4 linked regions of the Macaca mulatta genome follow. The protein of the gene in region 3 purifies or fractionates together with the protein of the main gene of each other region. This does not show direct contact. Links are inferred from orthologs where the notes say so. Each region holds a gene or a part of one and is shown on either strand. Other genes may lie near its edges.

Region 1 (4,472 bases), on a different chromosome or scaffold from region 3:
CCTACCTTGTTTTAACCTGATGGTCTCTCTTAGCTGAGAGAGCCAGACAGACTCCATTTTAGTTCCTTCACTTACAGCCCCTTTACCTCCCTCCCTTAAGGGCATAACTAGAGTAAACTGACTCAAAGCATGTCCAGAAATGCACTTACTGATAAGATACTGAGGCAAGCTGCACCAGCAGCTCCTGGGGATGCGCTCCCTGGATGGCACCCAAAGCCCCTGCATTTCTCTCTTTGTGATAGTTTAAGCCCCTGCACCTCGAACTGTTTATTTTTTTGTAACTGCTTTTGTAACCAATTAATTTTTTAACTTTTTGCCAGTTCTGCTTCTGTAAAATTTTTAGTAGAGACAGGGTAAAAATTGCTTCAGCTAAACTCCCCCCTCCCCTATTTAGACCACGGTATAAAAACAAAACTAGCCCCTTCCTCGGGGCCGAGAGAATTTCGAGCGTTAGCCGTCTCTCGGTCACCGGCTAATAAAGGACTCCTGAATTTAGCTGTCTCTCGGTCGCCGGCTAATAAAGGACTTCTGAATTCGTCTCAAAGTGTGGCATTTCTCTCTAACTCACTCGGTTACAACAGTTTATTAGTTGGCATTCTACTAAAAGGAAGACTTTCCCTTCACCCATTAATATACTCACTTCTTTATGTCTGTAAAGACTCATGGATTACTATTTTATTCAATTAGTTATACTGTATTACTATTACTCCATATTTTGATTCTGAAATTGCCCTGACTTGGCCAGTGGGATCTCTTTAAAGACAGCTCCTGTGTTCTTTGACATATTCCCATGATTCTTATTACCATCATCCTTATATTCTGGTGTAACAAGATGTTCCAAGTTTATCTGGTACTTTCCGGAATGTTTTCTTCCTTTCTCTTTCTTTTTTTCTTTTTGAGACGGAGTCTCGCTCTGTCGCCCAGGCTAGAGTGCAGTGGTGCGATCTCAGCTCACTGCAATCTCCGCCTCCCGGGTTCAAGTGGTTCTCCTGCCTCAGCCTCCCAAGTAGCTGGGATTACAGATGTGCGCCACCACGACCGGCTAATTTTTGTATTTTTAGTACAGAGGGGTTTCACCATGTTGGCCAGGCTGGTCTCGAACTCCTGACCTCATGTGATCCATCCTGCCTCGGCCTCCCAAAGTGCTGGGATTACAGGTGGGAGTCACTGCGCCCGGTCGGAAATCAGTTTTTTTCTTTCAGGAGCCCCGAACCCAAGTTCTTTGAAAAGCTGCCAAAGAGCTCCAGGGTTCCTCCGCTTCCTGCCCGCAGGCGGAACCTTAGAGTTTAGGACATGGAGATAAACCTCTTCCGGTTGGGGCCGGAAGTCCCTCCGAGAGAGGCGGCTTCGCGTCATGTGACTGGAGTCCGCGTAGGAGGGGTCAGAGGTCCTACCCAACAGATTGACGCGGCGATAGTATTGGCCGTGTAGCCGAAAAACTGATTGACTGGGCGGCCTCCCACGGCGTTAACTGCGCAGAGGCAGGTATGTGAGGGGCTGGGGTTGGGGCGGGGACCGCCAAGGTTTAGGGACGGGGGCGGGAGACCCGGGTCCGCCTTCCCGGGACACACGGGCTTCAACATCTGAGCCCAGGGGCCCAGAGACAGCAAGACCGGTGGTGCCTCTGGTCCCCGAAAAGAGGACGGGCTGGCGTTGTGGTTCTGCGTCCCGTGATTACAGATTGGGGAAACTGAGGCCTTGAGAAAGAGAAGAGCTCCCACAAGCTCTCCTTTCGAGGCATGGGCACTGATTCCCATTCTGTCCCCCGTGCGAGGCCGCCTGTATCATCTGGGAGTGCATTTCACGAGTTTGCCCTGAGTGGAGAAGCAGAGGCCGGGGAGCGCGGTGAACAGAGTTGGGCTGAGAGTAAGAGACCTGGATTCGAGACTTCTCCACCGACAATTTTGCGTTCTGGGCCAAATCTCTTTCCTGTGCTGGGCCTCAGTTTCCTCGTGTCTAAAACGGGGCAGTGTTTCTCAAAATATGGTTCTTACACCATCTGCTTTGAAGTGCCGGCTTTACAGTGCGGGACTCACTTCAGACTTCTGGTTTAGAATCTGAACTTATGCCTAGGAGGGTCCTGTATATACTGATGTTTGAATCTCATTGATTTTAAGTGCTTTCCTGCTGTGAGCACTAGATATCCATTCTTCGCTTTGAGGCAGCTGGTGCCAGGTCAGGAACTTTGAAAGAACTGGAATGGTTAGCTCAGTAAAGACAGCACTGGAAGGGAATTAACTTTTTAAAAATTGAAAATAGGCCGGGCGCGGTGGCTCAAGCCTGTAATCCCAGCACTTTGGGAGGCCTAGACGGGCGGATCACGAGGTCAGGAGATCGAGACCATCCTGGCTAACACGGTGAAACCCCGTCTCTACTAAAAAATAGAAAAAACTAGCCGGGCGAGGTGGCGGGCGCCTGTAGTCCCAGCTACTGGGGAGGCTGAGGCAGGAGAATGGCGGGAACCCGGGAGGCGGAGCTTGCAGTGAGCCGAGATCACGCCACTGCACTCCAGCCTGGGCGACAGAGCGAGACTCCGTCTCAAACAAAAAAAAAAATTGAAAATATTGTTAATGGCAAAGGGGACTTCCACTTCATCTTTAGGCTAAAAGAGGCAGAACTAGGACTAACAGGTGAATTCTACAAGAAGACAAGATTTTTGCTTAATAGAAGAACTTAAATGGAAGAATCATCAGAGTTGACCAGCGATGGAGTGAATGGATTGCCTCCGTGCCTCCTTTCGAGAGAGGTATATAGGTATTAGATGAAGGTCCTTTCCAATTTGAAAGTCTGTGATTCTAAGGAGTTGTTCTGCATCTATCTGGTGCTGACTCTGCCCTTAGGGCAAATGTGACTTTTTTCTTCTCTCTTTTCTTGACACTTCCATCACTTTAGCCTACATCTCCTGTAAATAAGGCCAATGCCTCTGACCTTACGTAATCTCTTCCTGGTTGTCCTGGGCCCCATCCTTCTTTTCAAGGACTTTGATTTGATAGACGCACCTTAAATGTTTGTTGAATGAATAAGTAAACTGGGTCCCACCCCATGGGTTAGTAGCTTTTTTCTAAGAACAACTTGGAAATGCCTCTGAAGATTTTATGTTTGACCAGGAGAAGCCAGTGAACTCTCAGTCACAAAATTGAGGACTCCCAGTTGGGAGGACCCCTTGAGGTTGTTCAGACCAGCCTTCTCCTCCCTGAAACATAATCCCTGCTTGAATCCTCTCTTCAGCAATATGTGTATACATGTGAGAGAGTTTTTGCAGTCTGTTGGCTAGCTTTCCGTGCATCATATAAAAACAGTCCTCTTATAGACTTGACTTGCCAGTTCGCACACACCACCAGTTCCAGCTAATTTTGTGTGTGTGTGTGTGTGTGTATTTTTTTTTTTTTTTTTTTTGAGACGGAGTCTCGCTCTGCCGCCCAGGCTGGAGTGCAGTGGCCGGATCTCAGCTCACTGCAAGCTCCGCCTCCCGGGTTCACGCCATTCTCCTGCCTCAGCCTCCCCAGTAGCTGGGACTACAGGCGCCCGCCACCTCGCCCAGCTAGTTTTTTTTTTTTTGTATTTCTTAGTAGAGACGGGGTTTCACTGTGTCAGCCAGGATGGTCTCGATCTCCTGACCTCGTGATCCGCCCGCCTCGGCCTCCCAAAGTGCTGGGATTACAGGCTTGAGCCACCGCGCCCGGCCGTGTGTGTGTATTTAGTAGAGATGGGGTTTCACCATGTTGACCAGGCTGGTCTCGAACTCCTGACCTCAAGTGATCCGCCTGCCTCAGCCTCCCAAAGTGCTGGGATTACAGGTGTGAGCCACTGTGCCTGGCCTCTAGCATACCTTTAGTTTTCTAATCAAACATTATTATGTCCTTATTTTGTGCATTACAGAGCTCGCCTAAGTCACTTTTTCAACACCTGCTAGAATGCTTAGGAATGTTTATGTTATCTTAGGGAGCAGAGGCTCCATATTATGACCCAGTTCTGCTGACTTGCTCCCCTGCCCCCACAAAAAAAAGGTTAGGGTTGAGCCAAAACTTCCTGCCAGTGTTTATCGACTTGTATTTCCCAAGATTAAAAAATAAAAAAGTTGTGAAATGCTTATTCAGATCTTATCCAGGTACTGGGTAAAATGATCTTAATTTGTTGGAGTTTTTAGAACTTCTTGATCTAAAAGTTTCCTTTTAAAGAAGCATCTGAATTAACATTCTCATAAGTGTGTTCTTCAGGCCACTGGTCTGAAGAAATGGCTCTGAAAAAAGGATTTGATGCTAACAATAAGTTTGAGAAAGCCACATACCATTATTCTTTCTTGAAGCTTCTCAATATGTAATACCACATTAAAAGCACTGAGAGGTCCTGCAATAAGGAAATGTGCTTTATAAGCCAAGATAATAACTTGTTTCATTTGTTTAATCTACTTGATGTAGAATCTTTTTTTTTTTTTTTAATTGAAGCACACATTAGCAAATTCTGACCTAGAG
Region 2 (3,861 bases), on a different chromosome or scaffold from region 3:
GAAGAATAGCTAATGGATGCTGAGCTTAATGCTTAGGTAATGGGATGATCTGAGCAGCAAACCACCATGGCACACATTTACCTATGTAACAAACCTGCACATCCTGCACATGTACCTCTGAACTTAAATGTCAGGAAAAAAAATAAAATTTTAATGTTAAAAACAAAAAAAAGAAGTGAGGACGCACAAAGGTTTTTAGCAGATAAATGACCTGATACAAGAAGATAACTTTTGCATAACTAAGGAGAATGTCATAAAGTTAGGGGAGACCTTCAGGGCAAAGAGATCCGAAGAGAACATTACTATAGCAGTCCCACTGGAAAGCAAAGAGAGTTTAAACTGGGATAGAGTAACAAAGAATACCACAGAGAAACACTCTGACAAATCCGGAATTGGAACATCCCACAAGATCACAGGCCTGATCTCTTCACAAAGTGGTCGTATTTAGAGGGATGCTGGATTGAATGGAGACTTACAAGAGACATAAACAGAAGCAAGGGTGAGCATTGATTAGAACCCGGTTCAAAATTAACAGCTATAAAAGATACAATGGGAACTGTGTGAGTCCACTCAGGCTGCCATGACAGAGGACCACACACCAAGGGACTAAAATAATAGATATTGTCTCACCATTCTGAAGGCCCAAAGTCCAAGATCAGGGTAACAGCAGGGGTAGTTTTGGTGAGACCTCTCTTCCTGGCTTGCAGGTGACCACCTTTTTGTCATGTCCTCACAAGGCCTTTCCTCTTGTGTGCAAGAAGAGAGAAAAAGGTGTCTGGTGGATACCAGACCTGTTGGATCACAGCCCATCCTTATAACCTGTTTAACCTTAATTACCTTCTTAAAGGTCTAATCTCCAAATACAGTCACATTGGGGGTTAGGTCTTCAACATATGAATCCGGGGGCGAGGCATACACAGTTCAGTCCATAACACAAACTGTTGGGGAAATCTGAATAGGGACTGGGTATTAGGTGATATTACAGAATTACTGCTAATTTTCTTAGGCTTGAGAATGATATAATGAGTGTGTAGGAGAATGATCATTTTAGACCATGCTCGCCAAAGTAAAGGAATAAAGTATCCTAACTGCAGCTTACTTTGAAATGTTTAGAAAAAAAAAAAGGCCAATAAATAAGGTAAAATGTTATCAGTGTTGAACTCAGGTGTCTGGATATGGATGTTAGTTGTACTATTCTTTCAGCTTCTCTATGTTTGAAATCTTTTTATAATAAACATTTGAGGGCAAAGGGAGTGTGACACTAAAGTAATAGTGAAGACAGTTTAAGAAACATTGACCATAACATTCCATAGTAACCTTGTAAGTTCTAAAAACTTCACCTTGACCCTCCTTAGTCTTTTCTGTGCAACTGATTAATCAAAAGGCATTGCTGATTCCAAAGATATGAGTTACTCTTTCATACTGTTCCCCAAAAGTCTCACTCGTGTCTTTGTAGAGATGTTCCTAGGCAGTGTGATTTCTCAGGAGAGTATGTTGTTGCCATGAGCCCTGCAGAACCTCCTGCTTGGAGATCCAAGCTGCCTTACAACCTCCTGTGAACTCTTCTACTCCTTTTCTGCCAAGCCCACATCTTACACCATCGCCCTGGGGGACTGCACCATATCCCAGAGCTTCCCAGTGACTTCTTGTCCATTCTCCCTCCAATAGTGGTGGTGTGATGATCTACTTTGACAGAATTGAAGTGGTGAACTTCCTGGTCCCAAACGCAGGTACGTCTTAACAGTTTATTCCCACCACCAGCTCACTTTCCCCAGCATGCCACTCCCGTGTCTGTTGTAGCACCTCGGAAAAGGAGAGCTGCTGTGTCTGAGGGCATTTTGAGTCTTGCCTTTTCTTATGCCAAGCCCTCTCCTTCCCTCTCAGTGTATGATATAGTGAAGAACTATACTGCCGACTATGACAAGGCCCTCATCTTCAACAAGATCCACCACGAACTGAACCAGTTCTGCAGTGTGCACACACTTCAAGAGGTCTACATTGAGCTGTTTGGTAAGAAAGTCTCTCCTGAGCGTGCCATGCTTAAGCCCATGTGTCTCCACTGCCTAGTGCCTGGCTGCCTGCAGGGTGTGATGGGCACTTAGGGACAGGAAATGTTAAAGAATCTCGTGCTCAGGAGCTGGTCACAAAGGAATTCCTGGAGAGTGCTGATGGCAATGCAACAAGATCCTTAGAGGGCTGGAGCTTTGGGCACAGGGATCGTAGTGGAGTAGAGTATTCACTTCTGGCCTCAATCAGATGCTGGAGTGGAAATGTGTTTCCACTGTCCCTAAACTGTCATTCAGTAATGAAGACAAGATCCATTCTAGAAGAACTGCAGAGATTTTCCAGCCCAGCATCCTCATTTTAAGATGAGGGTACCGTGACCCAAAGCGAGAAAGTCGCAGAGCCAGGTGCCAGTTAGTAGTGGAGCTGAAACAGGAGCTTTCCTCTCCTGGCTCTTCAGCATTCCTCTCACCATGCCACACTGAATGGAGGGCCCCCAGGAATGGGTGATGAAAAAGACATGATTCCTAATTCTAGAAGTGTGATGAGAACCATAGTTCCTTCCAGTTCCCAGAACCTTTGTGATTATTATTTTTTTACTCTGTACCTGTAGTGACAAATAGAAAAACACTTTAAACAAAAAGACTCCACGTGCCTAAGTAGATATGTTTTGTACTTATTTTTTTTTTTTGAGACAGAGTCTTGCTCTGTCGCCCAGGCTGGAGTGCAGTGGCGCAATCTCAGCTCACTGCAAGCTCCACCTCCTGGGTTTACGCCATTCTCCTGCCTCAGCCTCCCGAGTAGCTGGGACTACAGGCGCCCGCCACCTTGCCCAGCTAGGTTTTTTTTTGTATTTTTTAGTAGAGATGGGGTTTCACTGTGTTAGGATGGTCTCAATCTTCTGACCTCGTGATCCGCCCGTCTCGGCCTCCCAAAGTGCTGGGATTACAGGCTTGAGCCACTGCGCCCGGCCTTTGTCCTTTTTACCTTTTTCAAAATAAAGGCAACCTGACTTAGCAGCAAAGGAAGGACACAGTTGGGTAACTGTTACAACCTGTTTGCAGTCAACTATTCTGTTTAAACTCACTGCCAGAAATTCTCTAATAGCCAATGCCAAAAGTAAATGAATTTTTAACCAAGTATAACTATTCTTGACACTAGGACTGGAAAATGATTTTTCCCAGGAATCTTCATAAAAGGGACCCTGAGCGAGAACATTTTTCATAGCAGACAGGAGGAATCATCCACATCGCCAACAATCATAATTAAGCAAACCACCTTTTGCACCATTTAAGATTTAGGAAATCATCCAAATTACTTTTAATGTTTCTGCAGTAGAAAATGAATCTAAATTCATTTTATAGGGTTTGTAGTCTTTTATCGGTTTGGGATTCAGTGTGCTTTTAAGAAAAAGTTGGGCCGGGCGCGGTGGCTCAAGCCTGTAATCCCAGCACTTTGGGAGGCCGAGACGGGCGGATCACAAGGTCAGGAGATCGAGACCCTCCTGGCTAACCCGGTGAAACCCCGTCTCTACTAAAAAATACAAAAAACTAGCCGGGCGAGGTGGCGGGCGCCTGTAGTCCCAGCTACTTGGGAGGCTGAGGCAGGAGAATGGCGTAAACCTGGGAGGCAGAGCTTGCAGTGAGCTGAGATCCGGCCACTGCACTCCAGCCTGGGCGACAGAGCAAGACTCCGTCTCAAAAAAAAAAAAAAAAAGAAAAAGTTGGTAAATTTGCCATTGATTTTTTTTTAACCTCAAACTAATAGAATTGTATAAAATATTAATTCTCTCTAGCCATTGTCTTAGGGCTTGTGCCATTACATGAACATTTCAAAGCACTGAAACAAAAGACCAAG
Region 3 (4,548 bases):
GCATTTCCTAAAACCACCCAGGCAAGGGTGAGGGGCTGAGGGGCCTCGTGCTGGCTCAGGGCTGGGAGCTCCTGGCATTTCGTGAAGCCACCCAGGCATGGGGGAGGGCCGGGGGGCTCCATGCCAGCTCAGGGCTGGGAGCTCAGGGGCACAGGGGCCACAGAATGAAGAAACCTTGAAGGGACCGCACCAGGGAGGACCTGGCTCTCTGCAGGGAGAGCCCCGGAAGCCGGGTGGGCAGGAAGCAGAAGAGCCTTCTGGAATTCAAGGCAGCCTCTGAGAGCCAGTCCTAGCCTGCACTTTGCAGATAAGTAAAAGTGAAGGCGGCAAGGTCAGATTCTGAACCACCAGATTACCCGGTGGAGAATTCACAACGAACCGATTTCCCCACCCAGGCCGGGCACGGGGGCTCACACCTGTAATCCCAGCATTTCTGGAGGCCAAGGTGGGCGGGTCGCCTGAAATCAGTTTTGAGACCAGCCTGGCCAACATGGCAAAACCCATGTCTACCAAAAATACAAAAAAAGTAGCTGGTTGTGGTGGCGGGCGCCTGTAGTCCCAGCTACTCGGGAGGCTGAGGCAGAATTATTGCTGGAACCCAGGAGGTGGAGGTTGCAGTGAGCCGAGATTGAGCCACTGCATTCCAGCCTGGGCGACAGAGCAAGACTCCATCTCAAAAAAAAAAAAAAAAATCACCACCCAGAGATCTCGCAGCCCAGAGCCCCCTGCTGAGAGAGGAGGGATGGGGGGCGCTAAGAACCTCCCCAGAATCTCCACCCTCCACAGGAGAGGGGGGACCTCCAGCTCTGGCCCAGCCCCATCTGACCACCTGTGAGTGGCACCTGCCTGGAGATAGAGTTGGGTAGGCTTGATCCCTTTCCAAACTGGGACGTGGTGGGACGGAAGCCCAGGCAACAGGGATGCACCTCCCAGGGAGGCTGAGCTCTGTCGGGGGCACCTGGCCTGGCACCCAGCACACATCCTCCACAAAGCTAAGGACAGAGCGGCTCCATCCTGGACCCAGGCTACTCCATGGAAGGAAAACCCACGTCCACAGACCAGCCTCCGTCCACAGTTTCAGGTCCCGTCTGTGGACCCCAGAGCAGGGAAAGGCCGCCTGCCCGAGTAACCCTTCACAGTCCTGCTCTGATGCCCAGAGGCAACCACGCCACTCTGGGGGGCTGCAGGGAGGAAGAAGGTGGGAAGGATGACGGGCTGAGCTCTGGCCTGGGGAGGCCACAGATCTGGAGGCTAAGGGGCCTCCCTTGAGGCGGCGGTAGGCTGGGACCCACACGCAGGTCTGCAGGACGGCCAAGCTCCAGCTCCACCTGCTGAGCCCAAAAGAGCAGCCGGCTCCTGACCAACAGGCCTGGCCCGCCAGAGTCAGCCCCCTCTCTGCAGACTAGCTCCAAAAAGCTCACGGCGCAAGTTCAGCACCCCCCAAGCCCCAGCACTGCGGTGTTCTGATGCAAAACAAAAACGGCCATGTCTCCATTTCCCCAGGTGGTCCAGGACCCCGGCCAACTTGTTTTCTGAGTGGCTGCACCTGCTGCTGAGCCCCTCCTGTCACCCAAGACAGACTCCTTCTCAGAGGGACTCAGGCCAGTCCTGCATGGCTGAGACCTCTGTGCCATCTGAGAAGGGCAGGAGGGGGACAGAGGCCAAGACGCAGAGGTCGGTGCCTCATACAGGAGGCACGGGAGACAGACCTGAACTCCTGGGTCAGGAAGGGGATGGGGACCAAGCGGAGGAGGCCGGGGATGGGCTGGAACGCTGCTGCCGGTGACTTTGCCGCTAACCCTAGGGAGGTGACCTCAGCTAAGTCACATTCTCCTGAGGCTCAGGAGAGGGGAACGAGGTGGGGGCAGGTGGAAGCCTACAAGGAGGGAGAGAGCCCCACCAGGAGGAAGAGTGGGGAGTGGACTTCCAGGACTGGGGCTGGTCCAAGGGAGCCCTGGGTCAGACTGGGTTCTGGGCCAGCACACGGGGAGTGGAAAGAGGCCTGGGGACTGAGGGTCACAGGCGGCAGAGTCAGGGGTCAAAGGGCGGGAGGTGCTCCGTCGCAGGCCAGGACCGGGCTCCAAGCCTGGGTAGATAGGGACCTGGGAAAGGCGGTCGCCGGGGACAGGATGGTCCCTGGAGGGGGCTGAGATGGAGGTTTCCAGAGAACAGCGGCTTCTAGTGCAGTGGCAACCGGCCTTCCCGGGTGTACGTCCCCGGGCGGGATGGGGTCACGAGACGGTGTCCCTGGCCAATCCCAGGGTCAGAGGTCGCGAGGGAGGACCCTAACCGGTAGGGTCGGATCTAGGCCTCGGGGTGCAGGGTGGCGCTCGGTGTCCCCAGCGAGGCCAGGGGCCGCAGTCGCAGGTCGCAGACATGGGGGTCAGGCCGGGCGCTGGGGTCAAGGGTCGGGGGTCGGCGCCGCGGTCACCTTGAGCAACACGAAGAACTCGAAGAGACGGCGGAAGGCGGGCGGGAAGAGCCGCGAATAGGTGACAGCCATCTTGAAGAACAGCGCGTGGAACAGCCGGTCGCGCACGTTGATGAGGGGGTTGGGGTTGAGGTTGGGGGTGCGAGGCCCGCGCGCAGGGGCCGGGCCGCCGCCGCCGCCGTTGGGCCCGGGCCCCGGAGCTCCGGGCGCCGCGTGCTCCGACATGCCGCCCAGCGTCGCGCCCTAACGGCCCGCAGGTGTCCGAGGGCGCCTCCCGGCCGCCATCGGCCGCCCTTACCGCCGCCGCGCTCCTTACGGCCGCCCGGCCGCTGCCGCCATCTTCCGCCTCCTCGTCCTGCTGCGGCCCTGCTGACGCTAGCGAGTCGCCACGCCGGGCAAGAGCGGCCCCCCTGCGCCTGCAGGGAACGCTGGGATACCAGCGGCCGCCCGGGGAAGCTTCATCCCCGCCCTGGCCTGCGCCAGGGGGCGAGGCTACATCCGGCCCACCACTTTTGCATATTGCACCCACAATCCACCGCGTCTAGGAGGCCAGTATAAGACGGTAAAATTTTGATAAAATATGGGATTTTGCGTGACGGAAGACACTCAAAGTAAGTGCAAGCAGAGAATTTATTTGGCAATATACAACTGTAGGAAGTTATGCTAAACATAAGACTGACCATAAGTTCTCCTAACTGTAAGGTAATTAGTTTGAAGGCCTTTAAATAACCGTAGCTGGAACTTTTGAGTCGTGCTCGCTTCGGCAGCACATATACTAAAATTGGAACGATACAGAGAAGATTAGCATGGCCCCTGCGCAAGGATGACACGCAAATTCGTGAAGCGTTCCATATTTTTGCTTATAGTCCGCAGCTGGTCAGCTCGTTTTGCTTCCCTTCCCCGGACTCCCCGGATGTCCATCTCCCCTGGCACCAGAGGTTGGCGATAGGACAATCTGGCCGTCCCCACTCAAGCACCTGCCCCTGTAGCCCTCGGGCAACAGTAAGTAAATGCTCTTCAGGGGCACGTATTGAGTCCCTCCTGCCTACATAAGAGGATACTACGGTTTCTGTTTTTGGGTTTTTTTTGTTTGAGACGGATTCTCGCTCCGTCACCCAGGCTGGAGTGCAGAAGCGCGATCTCGGCTCTCTGCAACCTCCGCCTCCCGGGTTCAAGCGATTCTCCTGCCTCAGCCTCCCAAGTAGCTGGGATTACAGGCATGCGCCACCGCGCCCAGCTCATTTTGTATTTTTGGTAGAGACTGGGTTGCTCCATGTTGGTGAGGCTGGTCTCGAACTCCCAACCTTAGGTGATCTGCCCGCCTCAGCCTCCCAAAGTGCTGGGATTACAGGAATGAGCCACAACGCCCGGTCTAGACAGGGTTTTTTGTAGATCCATGTTGCCTATGGTCTGAACTCTTGAGCTCAAGCAATCTGCCAGCGTCAGCCTCCCAAAGTGCTGGGATTACAGGTGTGACCCACCAAGCCCACCCAAAAAAAAGTTTTGGTTTTTGTTTGTTTGTTTTGACACAGAGTCTCACTGCCGCCCAGGCTGGAGTGCAGTGGCGTGATCTTGGCTCACTGCAACCTCCGCCTCTTGGGTTCAAGCAATTCTCGGCCTCAGCCTCCTGAATAGCTGGGATTACGGGCGCCCGCCACCACGCCCAGCTAATTGTTTTATATTTTTAGTAGAGACAGGGTTGAACTCCTGACCTCGTGATCCACCTGCCTCGGCCTCCCAAAGTGCTGGGGTTACAGGCGTGAGCCACCCCACCTGGCAGAGAAGGGGTTTCACTGTGTTAGCCAGGATGGTCTCCATCTGCTGACCTCGTGATCCGCCAGTCTCGGCCTCCCAAAGTGCTGGGATTACAGGCGTGAGCCATGGCGCCTGACCTGTTAATTTTTATTTTTTAGAGACAAGGTCTCACTCAGTCACCCAAGCTGGAGTGTAGGGATATGATCATGGCTCACTGCAGCCTCCACCTCCTGGGCTCAAGCAATCCTCCCACCTCAGCCTCCCAAGTAGCTGGGATTACAGGCATGCATCATCATTCTCAGCTAATTTTTTTTTTTTTTTTTTGAGACGGAGTCTCGCTCTGTCGCCCAGGCTGGAGTGCA
Region 4 (4,312 bases), on a different chromosome or scaffold from region 3:
GAGGGGCCCCGGCTGGCTCCAGATGCATGTCCCCGGCACCCATCCCAGACCTCCCTAGTCCTCGTCTTTGAAGGCAACCTCAGCAGTGTGTGGTGCAGCAGGGCCCACAGGGGAATGCGGGGCCCGGCCAGGGAGTACCCACCGAGGAACAGTAAGGAAAGCTCAAGAGAGCCCCCTGGCACAAACACAGGGATCATCATGCCAGTCCTCCAGGATCAAGTCACATGACAAACAGAAACAGACACAAACACTAAAACCCCAGGTGTGCTTAAGGGCTGAGGGCTGCGGGCTGCCAGGGCGTGTGCCGTTTTTTTTTTTTTTTCTTTTGAGATGGAGTCTCACTCTGTTGTCCAGGCTGGAGCACAGTGGTGCGATCTCGACTCACTGCAAGCTCCACCTCCCAGGTTCACGCCATTCTCCTGCCTCAGCCTTCCGAGTAGCTGAGACTACAGGCTCCCGCCACCACGCCCGGCTAATTTTTTGCATTTTTAGTAGAGACGGGGTTTCATCGTGTTAGGTCAGGATGGTCTCAATCTCCTGACCTCGCAATCCGCCCACCTCGGCCTCCCAAAATGTTTGGATTACAGGCGTGAGCCACCGCGCCCTGCCATGTGCACCATCTTACTCTCCATCTGAGCTGCCACCCAACTGTGGTCACAGCTGTGGCCCCTTCTCTGTCTAGCTGAGGCTTGACCCAAACAAGAAACCACCACATCTCTTTACCATAGTCCCTTTAGGATGTCACCAAGCCCACAGCCCAGGGCAGGCAATCTGTGAACTGAATGAAAGTGAGTGGGTAAGGGTGTAAGTGAGAACCCTCTGGTGGCCAGGCCAGGCTGGCTGGAATGCTCAAAGTAACTGTTTAAAAAAAAAAAAAAAAAAAAGCCCTAGGGGGAAAACAATGGAGAAACTTGAGCAAGTCACCCAGTTGACAAAGCCCAGCTCCGGCACACACAATAGTAGCCATATGGCACACACACACCTAATAGGTCCACCTCCACTTCCAGCTGGGGAGCTCCTCCGGAACTGCCAGAGGGGACCCCAGCCCCTCCCCCAGCCCCTGCTCCTCCTCTGTGCGGGGGCCCTCACCTGCACACACTGACTGGGACCAGCAGACCTTCCCAGGACCTGCTGGATCCCAGGCTGCTTCTCCCAACAGCTTCTCGGGGCTCCTGGCTAGCTTGGTCCAACTTCCTGCACTCCACATGCCCAGTGTCCCCATTTGGACTGAGGCCCTGGTTCTCCTGCATCCTTCTTTCTAGGACTCAGCCAGGAAACCCAAGCTGTCAGGGAGCGCTCTCTGTAGGTGAGTGCCAAGCAGGAAGCGGGCTCCTGTTGAAGGCCCAGACTCTCTCTGGCTGTACCCGCTTGGCTCCCTTCCTTCTCTGAGCCTCAGTTTCCCCACTAGTGAGGTGAAGGTAGTTCAGAGGTTCTGCACATAGTGAGCCCTCCAGCTCTCCCTCCCAGCTGAAGGTGGTACTTCTTCCACTCCCTCAGCCCAAGTAATGGGCAGGTTTCCTCTTTCCTTGGCCTCTGGTGGGAAAGGAACTTTTCAAAATGGTCTCCCTCCCCTCAAATCCTGTCCTGAAACACAGGAAAGCCAAACATCCCCTGCTTCCTCCTGCCCTGGACACAGGGTCAGAAGTGACTATGAGTGGCAGAGAGACTACAGGAGGCCTAAGTGCCCACTGCACTTCCTCAGAGCCGAATGGATCCTGACCGCAGGTCCCACGTCACCTTCAGAGCTGGGACAAACAAACCCTTCACCGAAGTCTAAACAGTGGGGGAGGCTTTGTTATACACTCGGAACATGCCGCCCCTTTCCACGGAGAGGCTTACCCCCAGGAAACATAGGAGCTGGCTCCCAGCTGACACTGTGTTTATGTAACAGCCTAGGTCTGTTCGACCCTGGGGCTGGGGGTGGAGGGCTCAGTCTCAGTCCAGCCTCAGAGTGTGCTCAGAAACGCCCAGGGAGTCTGCGCCTCTCCCTCCTTGCAGAAAGAAGGTGGGGACGCGGCTTCGCAGGACAGAAGCAATATGGTTTGGCAGATGGAGAGGAGTTCTATCGCAGGAAGGATATAGGGCAGAAATTGAAGAAGGAGTGTTTTTTTTTTTCTTTTGAAGACTGTCTACAGCAGAAAAGTGGGAACGCAAGAGAGGTGAGGTGGATAAAGATGATGGTGCCAGGAGAGGCTGGGCAGGGGGGAGGGAGGGAGAACAGGGCAGCAGGGCCCAGGAGTGGGAACAGCAGGGCTGAGAACGGATGTGTGAGCCGCAGCTGGGTCGGTCTGGTGACAATGAGACACCGGCTCCCAGGATTTCACGAGGGTGAGGCCGAGATTCCAGGCCTAGTAGCTGGAACCGTGGGGTATTTCCAAACCGCAATGGAGAAGTTGGTCAGGGGAGGGCTCTAGGAGGGGAAATTCTGCCTGTTGTGTTAAATTTAAGACGAGGCAAAAAACTCAAGGGCGCCCCAGGAATCACAGCCTTCACATCACAAAAGATGCTCAACCAGAGGCTCCCCTGAGCTGGGGAGGAGGGGTCGCTGCTTATCAAGCTGGAGCGCTGGGGAGCCCGGAAACCTGTCCCTGCTCTGGGAAAAGCTCGGAAGCAGATGTGCCCCCACCCTCCTGTGGCCAGCCCACGAGGCTTGTCGCCCTCCAGAAGGAGCTGGGGGAAGGCAAGCTTGGAGCAAATCAGGAATGTCTTTACTTCCTCCAAGGACAGTGAAGCTGCAGCAACGGTCTCTCCCGCCTCCACCCTCTTCAGATCTAAGAGGAAAAACTGGTCATCTTCTCTCTGTGGGGCCCAGGGCTCGCACAAATGCCATCTCCTAGTCCCCAGCTACAGCGGTGATTCAGGCCATTTACTCAGATCCACGTTAATGAGATTTTTCTGTCACCTAATTAGTTCACAGAGAACTCAGCCTTGAGAGGAAAGAAATAAGAACCGGTTGGGAAAAGGCAGAAGGAAGTCAGACTGCCATGTCACAACAAAAGATAGGACCCAGCACTACATGGGGTCCCCCCAGACCCAATACTCCTTCCTCAGCTATGGGGGCCTCTGAAAGTAGAAAGGGAGGTGTTCAGGTGCACTACCCCCCAGAACCTCAGGCAAGCAGATGAAGCTGGGAGTGGGGCCCTAACCTTAAGGCCCAAGTCAGGAACAGGCCCCTGCCCACAACTCCATGTTATGGCAAAAGGCCTTGGCTCTCGCTGCATTTCCACGGAGGCCAAACCCACCACCTGCCGGTGGGCGTCCCCTTTCAAACAGAGCTGGGGGAGGAAGCAGATGGCCCAGGGCGAGGCCCATCTGTCCGTGCCCGCTCGAAGGTCACCATGCCACTGGCCTGATTGCGGGTGCCGCCAGCACCCACCACACCAGGGCTTGCGAGCCATCTACCAGCAGCGTGCCCCTACTTCCTGTGCCCTCAATGGTCGAAAGTCCAGGGCCTAAGGGCCCAGAGAAAAAAGCGCTAGGCAGCGCAGTGGCCGGGGATTTCCAGTCCCCGACTCCGGGTGCGGTGTCCCTGGAGGTCAGTCAGCGCCCGGCTGCCCCGCGGCTGCCTCCAGACCGAGGAGCCGCGGGTCCCTGGCGCGCTCACGACCCGGCCAAGGCGCGGATGGACCTGCCGGCGCCTCCCACGCGGTCGCGGCGCCGCAGCCCAGCGCCAGGCCCGGCCCGCGCCCGCTTGGCCGCCGCGGCGTAGGGGGTGTGCGTCGGGAGAGGGCGCCGCGGCGAGCGCCACCCTCCGGGCCTGCGGGCGCTGGGCCAGGGAAGGCTGCCATCCACTAACGCGAGGCTCCGATCCCCCGCCCCACTGCGGAGCAGGGCCCGGGCAGCGGCTAAGATGCCTCCCCGGTCACGGCCCCACCTCCCGGCAGCTGAAGCCCTCTGCCGCGCCCACCTTCCCCGGCCAGGCCTGGATAGATCTGGTCCTGGCCCCCCGAAGCGACACCACCTTCGCGCCCTGGAGCACAGTGAGCAGAAAACCCCCAACCCCAAAGTGTCCCCGAACGAGATATGGCGAAGCTGCCCGCCGGTTCTGCAGCACAGATCGGCAAACCTCGTGGCCTGGACCTCAAGCGCGCAAGGACCCCCGACAGGGAGAGCATAGCCAGGACCGGCCCGTGGAGCCCTCGACCGGAGCCGGAGAGGCCACCGCGCCCCTGCTCCCGCAGCCCCCGGCTTCGCTCACCCTCGATGGAGATGACGTGCTCGCGGATCTGGTTCTGCAGCGCCAAATCCTCGATGCGCTCGATCAGGTCGTAGATGGCGTAGATATTGGGATGCACGGACTCGAAGCGCTGGA

The links.
Region 1: the proteins of TMEM259 (region 3) and RNF185 purify together in Homo sapiens (affinity purification with mass spectrometry; 3 studies listed by BioGRID and IntAct, counting the BioPlex papers as one, with this or other methods). This does not show direct contact. The link is inferred for Macaca mulatta from reciprocal best matches to the Homo sapiens genes TMEM259 and RNF185.
Region 2: the proteins of TMEM259 (region 3) and ERLIN2 purify together in Homo sapiens (affinity purification with mass spectrometry; 3 studies listed by BioGRID and IntAct, with this or other methods). This does not show direct contact. The link is inferred for Macaca mulatta from reciprocal best matches to the Homo sapiens genes TMEM259 and ERLIN2.
Region 4: the proteins of TMEM259 (region 3) and TMUB1 purify together in Homo sapiens (affinity purification with mass spectrometry; 3 studies listed by BioGRID, with this or other methods). This does not show direct contact. The link is inferred for Macaca mulatta from reciprocal best matches to the Homo sapiens genes TMEM259 and TMUB1.

What each region holds. Positions count from the first base shown.
Region 1 is NC_133415.1:20,360,808-20,365,279, reverse strand, and holds the start of RNF185 (E3 ubiquitin-protein ligase RNF185), read left to right. Parts: upstream 1-1,383; 5' UTR 1,384-1,485; intron 1,486-1,562; exon of another isoform or gene 1,563-1,866; intron 1,867-2,601; 5' UTR 2,602-2,714; coding exon 2,715-2,746; exon of another isoform or gene 2,747-2,754; intron 2,755-4,472. UniProt on the Homo sapiens protein: E3 ubiquitin-protein ligase that regulates selective mitochondrial autophagy by mediating 'Lys-63'-linked polyubiquitination of BNIP1.
Region 2 is NC_133413.1:39,669,417-39,673,277, forward strand, and holds part of ERLIN2 (erlin-2 precursor), read left to right. Parts: intron 1-1,668; coding exon 1,669-1,730; intron 1,731-1,884; coding exon 1,885-2,010; intron 2,011-3,861. UniProt on the Homo sapiens protein: Component of the ERLIN1/ERLIN2 complex which mediates the endoplasmic reticulum-associated degradation (ERAD) of inositol 1,4,5-trisphosphate receptors (IP3Rs) such as ITPR1.
Region 3 is NC_133424.1:1,680,370-1,684,917, forward strand, and holds the start of TMEM259 (membralin), read right to left. Parts: upstream 2,803-4,548; 5' UTR 2,657-2,802; coding exon 2,432-2,656; exon of another isoform or gene 1,710-2,431; intron 1,585-1,709; exon of another isoform or gene 1-1,584. UniProt on the Homo sapiens protein: May have a role in the ERAD pathway required for clearance of misfolded proteins in the endoplasmic reticulum (ER). Promotes survival of motor neurons, probably by protecting against ER stress.
Region 4 is NC_133408.1:190,518,233-190,522,544, reverse strand, and holds the start of TMUB1 (transmembrane and ubiquitin-like domain-containing protein 1), read left to right. Parts: upstream 1-1,404; 5' UTR 1,405-1,429; intron 1,430-4,198; coding exon of another isoform or gene 4,199-4,312. UniProt on the Homo sapiens protein: Involved in sterol-regulated ubiquitination and degradation of HMG-CoA reductase HMGCR. Involved in positive regulation of AMPA-selective glutamate receptor GRIA2 recycling to the cell surface.